Lepisosteus oculatus: one gene and its partner. The protein of the gene in region 1 interacts with the protein of each later gene in a pairwise test. Links are inferred from orthologs where the notes say so. Each region holds a gene or a part of one and is shown in the gene's direction. Other genes may lie near its edges.

Region 1 (3,754 bases):
GGTTTTCTACTTCTAATTAATAATAATAATAATTAATAATAATAATTGCTTACACTTATATAGCGCTTTTCTGGACACTCCACTCAAAGCGCTTTACAGGTAATGGGGACTCCCCTCCACCACCACCAATGTGCAGCATCCACCTGGATGATGCGACGGCAGCCATAGTGCGCCAGAACGCTCACCACACATCAGCTATCAGTGGGGAGGAGAGCAGAGTAATGTAGCCAATTCATAGAGGGGGATTATTAGGAGGCCATGATGGGGTAAAGGCCAGCATAATTGATCTCATGCCCTTCTTTATATATTGTCATTTCCTTTCACTTTATTATGGAGTGCATCTGATGCCATTTTATGTCCAGTGTATTCTCTGGTGCCAAGAGATTTCAATACTCCTCTTACCCTTTGTTTTATTCTGTCACTTTTTCAAGATAGAAATTTCTGTATTTAATTCCAACAAGTCATGTTCCCACCTACAATGAAAATCTAACTTATATGTAATTTTAGAAATTATAATTTTAAATAATATAATTTATTTCACAGGCATATTTAGATGCCCATCTACAATCATGTGAATTATAACCCACAAAAAAATATATATATATATTTGGGACTTCCCCAAATATGACTTACACATAGTATCAGGTAAGCTGTCTTGAATGGATGACAGCAATAGCACTATAATTATCAACAAAAAGTATTATGCAACACGTTACTAATGGACGACCGCCATCACCCACAGCATTTTGACAAGCAAGCTAGAACTTGGCTTGCAAATGGCCATCCACGTGTCTCTATCATGGCCCCTCGATTTCATTTTTTTGAGTAAACTACACATCCCACTCGCCTTCTGCAAAGGTAAGTCCATGTTTTACGTCCCTTGGAAGCGCCCATTTGCGGGGAGTATGGGTCATGTAGTCCAGTAAGTAATGTTTGTGTATTACGGAAAGAGGCTTTGTTATTCGAAAAACACATTTCCCAGCATTCCAAGCGCTGTCGCACATGCGTGTCACGGTGTGTAAATGTCCGTGTGTAGGCGAGTCACGTGTGGAGAGTCCGTTGATCTCGTTTCGTCCCTGCAGTGAGATTCGCTTGTTTGTTCGTTTCGGTTTGTACTTGATTTTATTTTTTTTAGCTTTTTCTTAATTAGATCAAATATTTTATCGAAGAATGAGCGACAACGATGACATCGAGGTCGATAGTGACGTAAGTGGAAGATAGATATTTCGAAGAATATTAAATATTTAGAATTAAAACGCCTTGTGTTTTTCTGAATTTTGAGCTGCTGTCGGACTGCTGGTTGGTAGAGTTCTAGGAAGAGACTAGCAGTACTGAATGAGACGTTCCGCGGTTTCGGCTTTAAAGCATATCGAAAAAGGAGTCTATTTTTACATACAAGCAACATATGTAGGAGTTAAAGCTATCACTTAACTCACAATTATACAATTGTACTTTTCTGTTTTGTTTTTTTTACAGGAAGAATCACCGAGATTTCACTCTGTGGTGCGTAATATACGGAACGTTTTATCACGCTTAGACTTTTTAAAATGAAAATTGCTACTGCATTGACATTTCAGTATAATTTCCGGGTGGGTAAGAGGAAAAGAGGAGTTGGCTGTAGAGACAGCGATCCTGAATTGCAGGGGACACCTACATCGGTGACGGAAGAGCAGCCTGATTAGAGAACCATCCTTGTTGTACAGCTACTCCTACTAGGCCACCGCACAAGCCTATGAAAAAATAAAACGTAGAAGAGTTTGAATCAACGACGTAGAAATAAAAACTCACGTTGTTTTGCTTAACGCCCGTTTTGCTTAACTCCAATTTACAGTGAAATATTTTTCTACGCATCAAAGGGTAATCCCCAACCCACAAGACACAGCGCGTACCATTTTTAGCCTAGACGAAAATTGCCTGTTTCTTCACCGTTTTTGGCTCAAGATCGCTTTAAACATCAGAAGGAAAAAGGTCAGATACACAGATTGAACTGGATCTGCCTGTGCTTCGATGAGTAGGAACCGACCATAACATTTCGTTTCGTGAAGATCAGATTAGGCTGTTTTCAAAACCCGAAAAGCACATCAGGCTACTGTTCAGCAGCTACGTTTCCTGCTTTAATGGAATAGTTAAGCTGCACATACCGAAGAGATCGACAACGTATAATTAAATATTTTCTTAGGGAATACCTTTTTTTCTGCTTGAATTTAAATACTCGGTTTAGCAATCCATTATCTCGGTGCACCGGTAGATACTGCTTTAAATAGTGCTTAATTGGAATGCAGGTTACGATCTTTGGAGGGGATTAATAGAGGATATTTAACCTTCAGCAAAAAAAATATTAAAGATGATAGGCATAAAAAAACGAAGTGGCCAGCAGAAATACAAGGTGTTCAGGGCAAGTTAAAGGTGCTTCAGTTGCGTTGGTGTTCAACACCGTTTCACATTGACGGCGCAATAAACGATCGGTTGCTGTTGTATTATTTGACGTGTCTGTGCAGTCACTTTGATGTTTAAATCGGTGTACTACGATTTGTCTTTAAAAGACCGGGGATTACATTGCAGTCTGTTCGTGCCATTTTGTGTACCTACAGTTTACATTTGCACGTTCCCTCTTCCATTCTGTCAGTGCATTTTATTTACAAGTGTTTTTTAAATGGCATAAAACGCATGCGTAATACACTTAATAGGAAAAGAGAGGATATGGTTAGCACTAACTCTGTAAATTCAAGAACACAATTACACACTGAAAACGATAGTAAAAATACACATAACAAGTTGCTCTTCCGGTCTCTGCTTATGTTTTTTGTGAAACGATAAAAAAATCTTAAATTCAGAATTAGTGTTATTATACATTTTAAAATACTATATAAAGCCTGCTTTGCTTATTATGCCTTAGATTGTGTCACATTCTAAGGTATATTTTAGAATAGAATAAGGCTACAATTTGATTTTCTAAATGACATTAAAAAAACTTATTATTCCATTGTTGTGATGTAGTCTGCTTTACCATTTCTCTCAAGGAAATGTGATTTGGTATTTGTTCACCTATAAACCAAATAGTTTAAAACTTATGCACAGAGTGCTCATTTAGGGATTCACTCTCAAGTTGATTGAGGGTCAGCATGTGAAAATAAAAGCATTGGAGAGTCCTCATTCACGTACCCCTTGAGTTGTCCTGTTAAATAGACATTCTTCTGATTCTGATTCTTTTATTAAGAGGTTTTTAAAGGAAATCTGAATTACTATTGGGTTCAACAAAGAAATTAATTAAATGCAAGCAGTAAGTGCAATTATATAGATTCATGAAAGCACTGTAGTTCTGTAATAGGTACTTAAGTTGTTAAAGGATGATTGTATTTGGTAGTATAGTAACTAAATGTGGAAGGTAGCTGCTCAAAAAAGGCAGATTAGGAGAAAAGGGCCAAAAATGAATGAGTTAAACTAAGAAATGTGACAGAAAAGTTGTGGAATTGAGGCACCTAACCTAATATGGAACTTCAGGAACTAGAATGGTAGAATATAGTAAAAAAAAAATTGTTTTACTCTAGCCGATGGAATTGTTAGGAGACAGCTTTGTCTAGCAACCAGACCCAAGTTCAGAACAGTTACCTGACTCGTAAGGATACAGAAGTTCATAACGTGATTTTGTTTAAGTATATTTTGAAGACCTTGATATTAAGCATTAAATATGAACATAACGATGGAATAAAGTTAGTATGCCCTTCAAACGCCCCTTCTCAAGATATATTTGTCC
Region 2 (3,754 bases), on another chromosome or scaffold:
GCATGGGTCTGAACTGAGCAATTTTATGCAAGTGGAAGAAAGATAAGCTTTGCGACACTCCTTATGTGCACTTCAATCAACAACGCTAAAATTCCTGAGGAATAACAACAGCCGAGAATTAAGTGTATTGTAATGTTTAACTCTTTTAGCCAGAATAGATTTGGCTCAACCCGCTTGGCAGAGGGCCAGGCTCCTGGCCACAGGACGAGGAGGTCGTGCCCCCTGCAGAACTTGGGGGGGGGAGGAGCTCACCTATATTATAGTAATATGATAATATCATGCTTGGGTGATGAAATGACATCAGGATTGATTATGAATTACTGGTAGCTGAGGCTGATTGAACTTGGCTGTCTTCATCTCTCCTAACATTTCGTTACAAACTCCATTAGTGAAGTTCCCAGTTCTGAATATTGAGTAGTGGGACAACATCAGACATCAGTGGGACAACATCAGTGGGACAACATCAGATTTAAAACATCTTCACTAATTGGCTCCAAATATGAGCCAAACCAAGGAAGAGTGGGAAAAAGATGAATGTTACTGTGATGCGGAAGAGTGCTGTATCAAAAGCTTCACTTTCATCTAGGATTAAAAGACACCCAAATTCGTTACATATTTTAACAAGGGCTGTTTCTGGGCTACATCTCAGCCAAATGTCTGACTGAAAAGGTTCGAAGAGTTTATTAATCGAGATTATAATCGAGCTTTCATCATCTGTCCCAAACGTTTTCGTGACAAAAGGGGCTTGATCCAATTTAGGATTTAAAGGACTTAAAATGGTTTAACAAGGTGTAAACTCTCAGACAAACCGGATTCTTAACACACTGAGGAATTTTACAAAGAAAGATACTGTAAGTGAACTTTAAATATAATTAAATATAGATATTTATTTACTGCTTCAACACAATTTGCATGACACTGCATAAAATCTGAAATATCCCATGCATAATACAGTTTTGCAAATGTTGGCTCTCTAGAGTGCAACTTCCAGAAAGGTAATTCAGTAAGCTTTTTTTTTCATGAAAAGAATGTACTGGAACCAGACTAGTAGAACAAAATGGTTCAGATAAACCCACTGTCCGACAGCATCTCTTTCTCGCTGCCTTCTATGGCGATGGAACGTGCAAGTAGGCGGGGTTTCGTTAGAAACGTCATCACGCCGCTCCCAGAGAACAGGAAGGAAGAGAGGTTATAGCTGTCTTGTGCTCGCTGGTTATATAGCACATAAACTGTAGAGCTCGCTATGAAATGAGGAAATAAAATCGGTTATAGAGTAGTAGAACTTTGGAGACGCCGCGTGGAGCTGTCCGAAACTCGGCGAAGGCAGCGAGATATCTTGGCAATAAACTGTGCGATCATAGAGAATGAGTGTAAACGGCAAAGACAAGGTACAACCTTATCTCGCCTGCTAGCTTCGTAAATCATTCATTATGTTTGCCGTAACTGTAGGTTTGGTTTTTACCGGTTTACACAAAAATCAGTAGACTCCGCTGTTCCGTTAGGTAAACACCCACCATGGAAACATTGTGCAGAAGCAGTCGTGTAAAATACCTCAGCTGTGTAGAACGCCTAATCTGGGTTCACTTGTTACAGACTTCGCACGTATTCAAGTGACGCCGTGACTCTAACCAAATCAATCTGTTAATTTGCCTGAGCCAACATCTATAGCTTTTATTTTGATTATCATATTTAATGGCTTTAATAACTAATGGCCATTGCCATTACTTGATTCGGTAGTTTGGTATTGGTGTCAAATATAATCCCTTAACAGAAATTGCGCTCTGGATTCCAGAGCGGCCAGTTACAGCTCCAAATCCCAGTTATACTGCTGTTGAGCCGTTGAGCAACGTATGTATCTCGAAGTGTACTGCTAACTTGCCCAGCTGCACAAATGAGTACTCTTCTGGATGTCATTTCAAATGAGATTTTGCTCCTAGTTTGTCCTTATAGCATTTGAAGGAAATGTGATCTCTTCCTCTGTTTTTAAGGGGTGGTTAATGGCTTTTTAATATATTCTTAAAGAAGTAACAGTAGAGGCCAATGAGTGGCACAGGGGAGTTTGTATGGGCTCCAAATAATCACACAGGTTTTCTTTGATTGTCCTGATTTTCTCCCTCTTCCCAAAGACGGTTCGGTTGATTGCATGTGCTGTATCTCCCAATTCCAGGAGGAGAACGAGCAGCGTTCCTTTCATTCATCCTGCTTGGAGTAGCTCTGCTGTAGTGCCAACCCCAGCATGGTGGGGTTAAGGATCTATAGGTCGTTGATGAAGCCCAGCCCTGTCTAGTCTTGTGCTGTAGGTGTCCTTTAGCAGTGCTGTCTGCTTTGTGTGTCCCAGGACCCTGCTGCCCTGCGGGAGGATGGGAACAGCCTGTTCAAGAATGGAGATTACCAGGGAGCCCTGTCCTGCTACACCAGGGCCCTTAGACTAAGTGACAGCCAGGCAGAGAGTGCTGTCCTGCACCGCAACCGGGCAGCCTGCTACCTCAAGCTGGAGGACTATTCCAAGGCAGAGGCCGATGCTACAAAAGGTACAACTTCTAAAATGAAGACTAAGCCTTTCACACGGCGCTTCTGATGTGACCAGGCCTGAAAAGCAATCATTTCTGAGCCAGCCTAGAGTCTGCGAGAGCAAATTAGTCTGTACTGACGGGTAAGCTCTGTTCTTCACTTGCTGCCTGCTTGGTCTTTTCCCTCTGGCCAGCGCTGGACGCCGACCCCGGGGATGTGAAAGCCCGGTTCCGCCGCTCACAGGCGCTGCAGAAGCTGGGGCGTTTGGACCAGGCCTTCTTGGATGTCCAGAGGTGCGCACAGATGGAGCCCAAGAACAAGGCCTTCCAGGAGTCACTGCGGCAGTTAGGAGCTCAGATCCAGCAGAAGGTATCGTGCATGGGGGTTTATCAGCCATTATGGTGCATACAAAATGTTTACACTTTATGAATTAAATTGACAAAAAAACGGGGCTGACTAATAGCTAGAGAATTAACTAGTCAAAAAACTTATAGCAGTCATCCACCAGGTGGGGCTGCACACTGGTGGTGGTGGTGGAGGGGATCCCCATTATCTGTAAAGCACTTTGAGTGGAGTGTCCAGAAAAGCACTATATAAGTGTAAGCAATTCTTATTATTACTACTCAAATAAACCCTTTAATTCACATTGTATTCCCAAATGTAAATGCTGTTGAAGGGGTATTAAGACTGAAGCTGGTATCTCTTTGCTCCTGTCTTGCTCACAGGCTCTACAGCTCTCCTCCACAGATGCTCGCGTACAGCAGATGTTCTCTCTCCTCTTGGACTCCTCCTCACAGCCTTCCGATAGGCAGAAGGTGTGGTATTGGGGGAGGTCAGAGATCACTGGGTAGAGAAATGGGACAGGTTTTTTGTGGCCTTTGCTGTTCATGTTGAAACAAAGACATCCTGATCTATTCATGAATGCATAACCTGTTTGTAATGTATAATGAAATGTTGAAATCAGTAAATGTATACTCTTAGATTCTGCCTGTTTTGGATAAATGCCTTTCTTTCACCAGAGCTATATCATACAAAGCTGCAAAGCGTCAGTTAAAAAAGGCAGCTCTTTAGTTTTATATCTTCGAAGATATATCATAAAGAGTAGTGTGGATTGAGTTGATTGAGAGCTTCAGCGGTTCAGACTGGAGGAGTTAACAAGACAACTTTTTGGTATTCTTGTCACATGAGATACTTAGGGCCAGATTTTATGTTAGACAACTAATAGCTCTCATCCTGTTTCTGC

The links. The genes of interacting proteins can lie anywhere in the genome.
Region 2: the proteins of max (region 1) and unc45a interact in binary tests that used the Homo sapiens proteins (3 or more experiments, as listed by UniProt). The two-hybrid records come from large-scale screens. The link is inferred for Lepisosteus oculatus from reciprocal best matches to the Homo sapiens genes MAX and UNC45A.

Annotation. Positions count from the first base shown.
Region 1 is NC_090703.1:15,579,289-15,583,042, reverse strand, and holds the start of max (protein max), read left to right. Parts: upstream 1-1,040; 5' UTR 1,041-1,170; coding exon 1,171-1,206; intron 1,207-1,476; coding exon 1,477-1,503; intron 1,504-3,754. UniProt on the Homo sapiens protein: Transcription regulator. Forms a sequence-specific DNA-binding protein complex with MYC or MAD which recognizes the core sequence 5'-CAC[GA]TG-3'. The MYC:MAX complex is a transcriptional activator, whereas the MAD:MAX complex is a repressor.
Region 2 is NC_090700.1:60,915,928-60,919,681, forward strand, and holds the start of unc45a (protein unc-45 homolog A), read left to right. Parts: upstream 1-1,172; 5' UTR 1,173-1,364; coding exon 1,365-1,388; intron 1,389-2,338; coding exon 2,339-2,531; intron 2,532-2,704; coding exon 2,705-2,880; intron 2,881-3,236; coding exon 3,237-3,326; intron 3,327-3,754.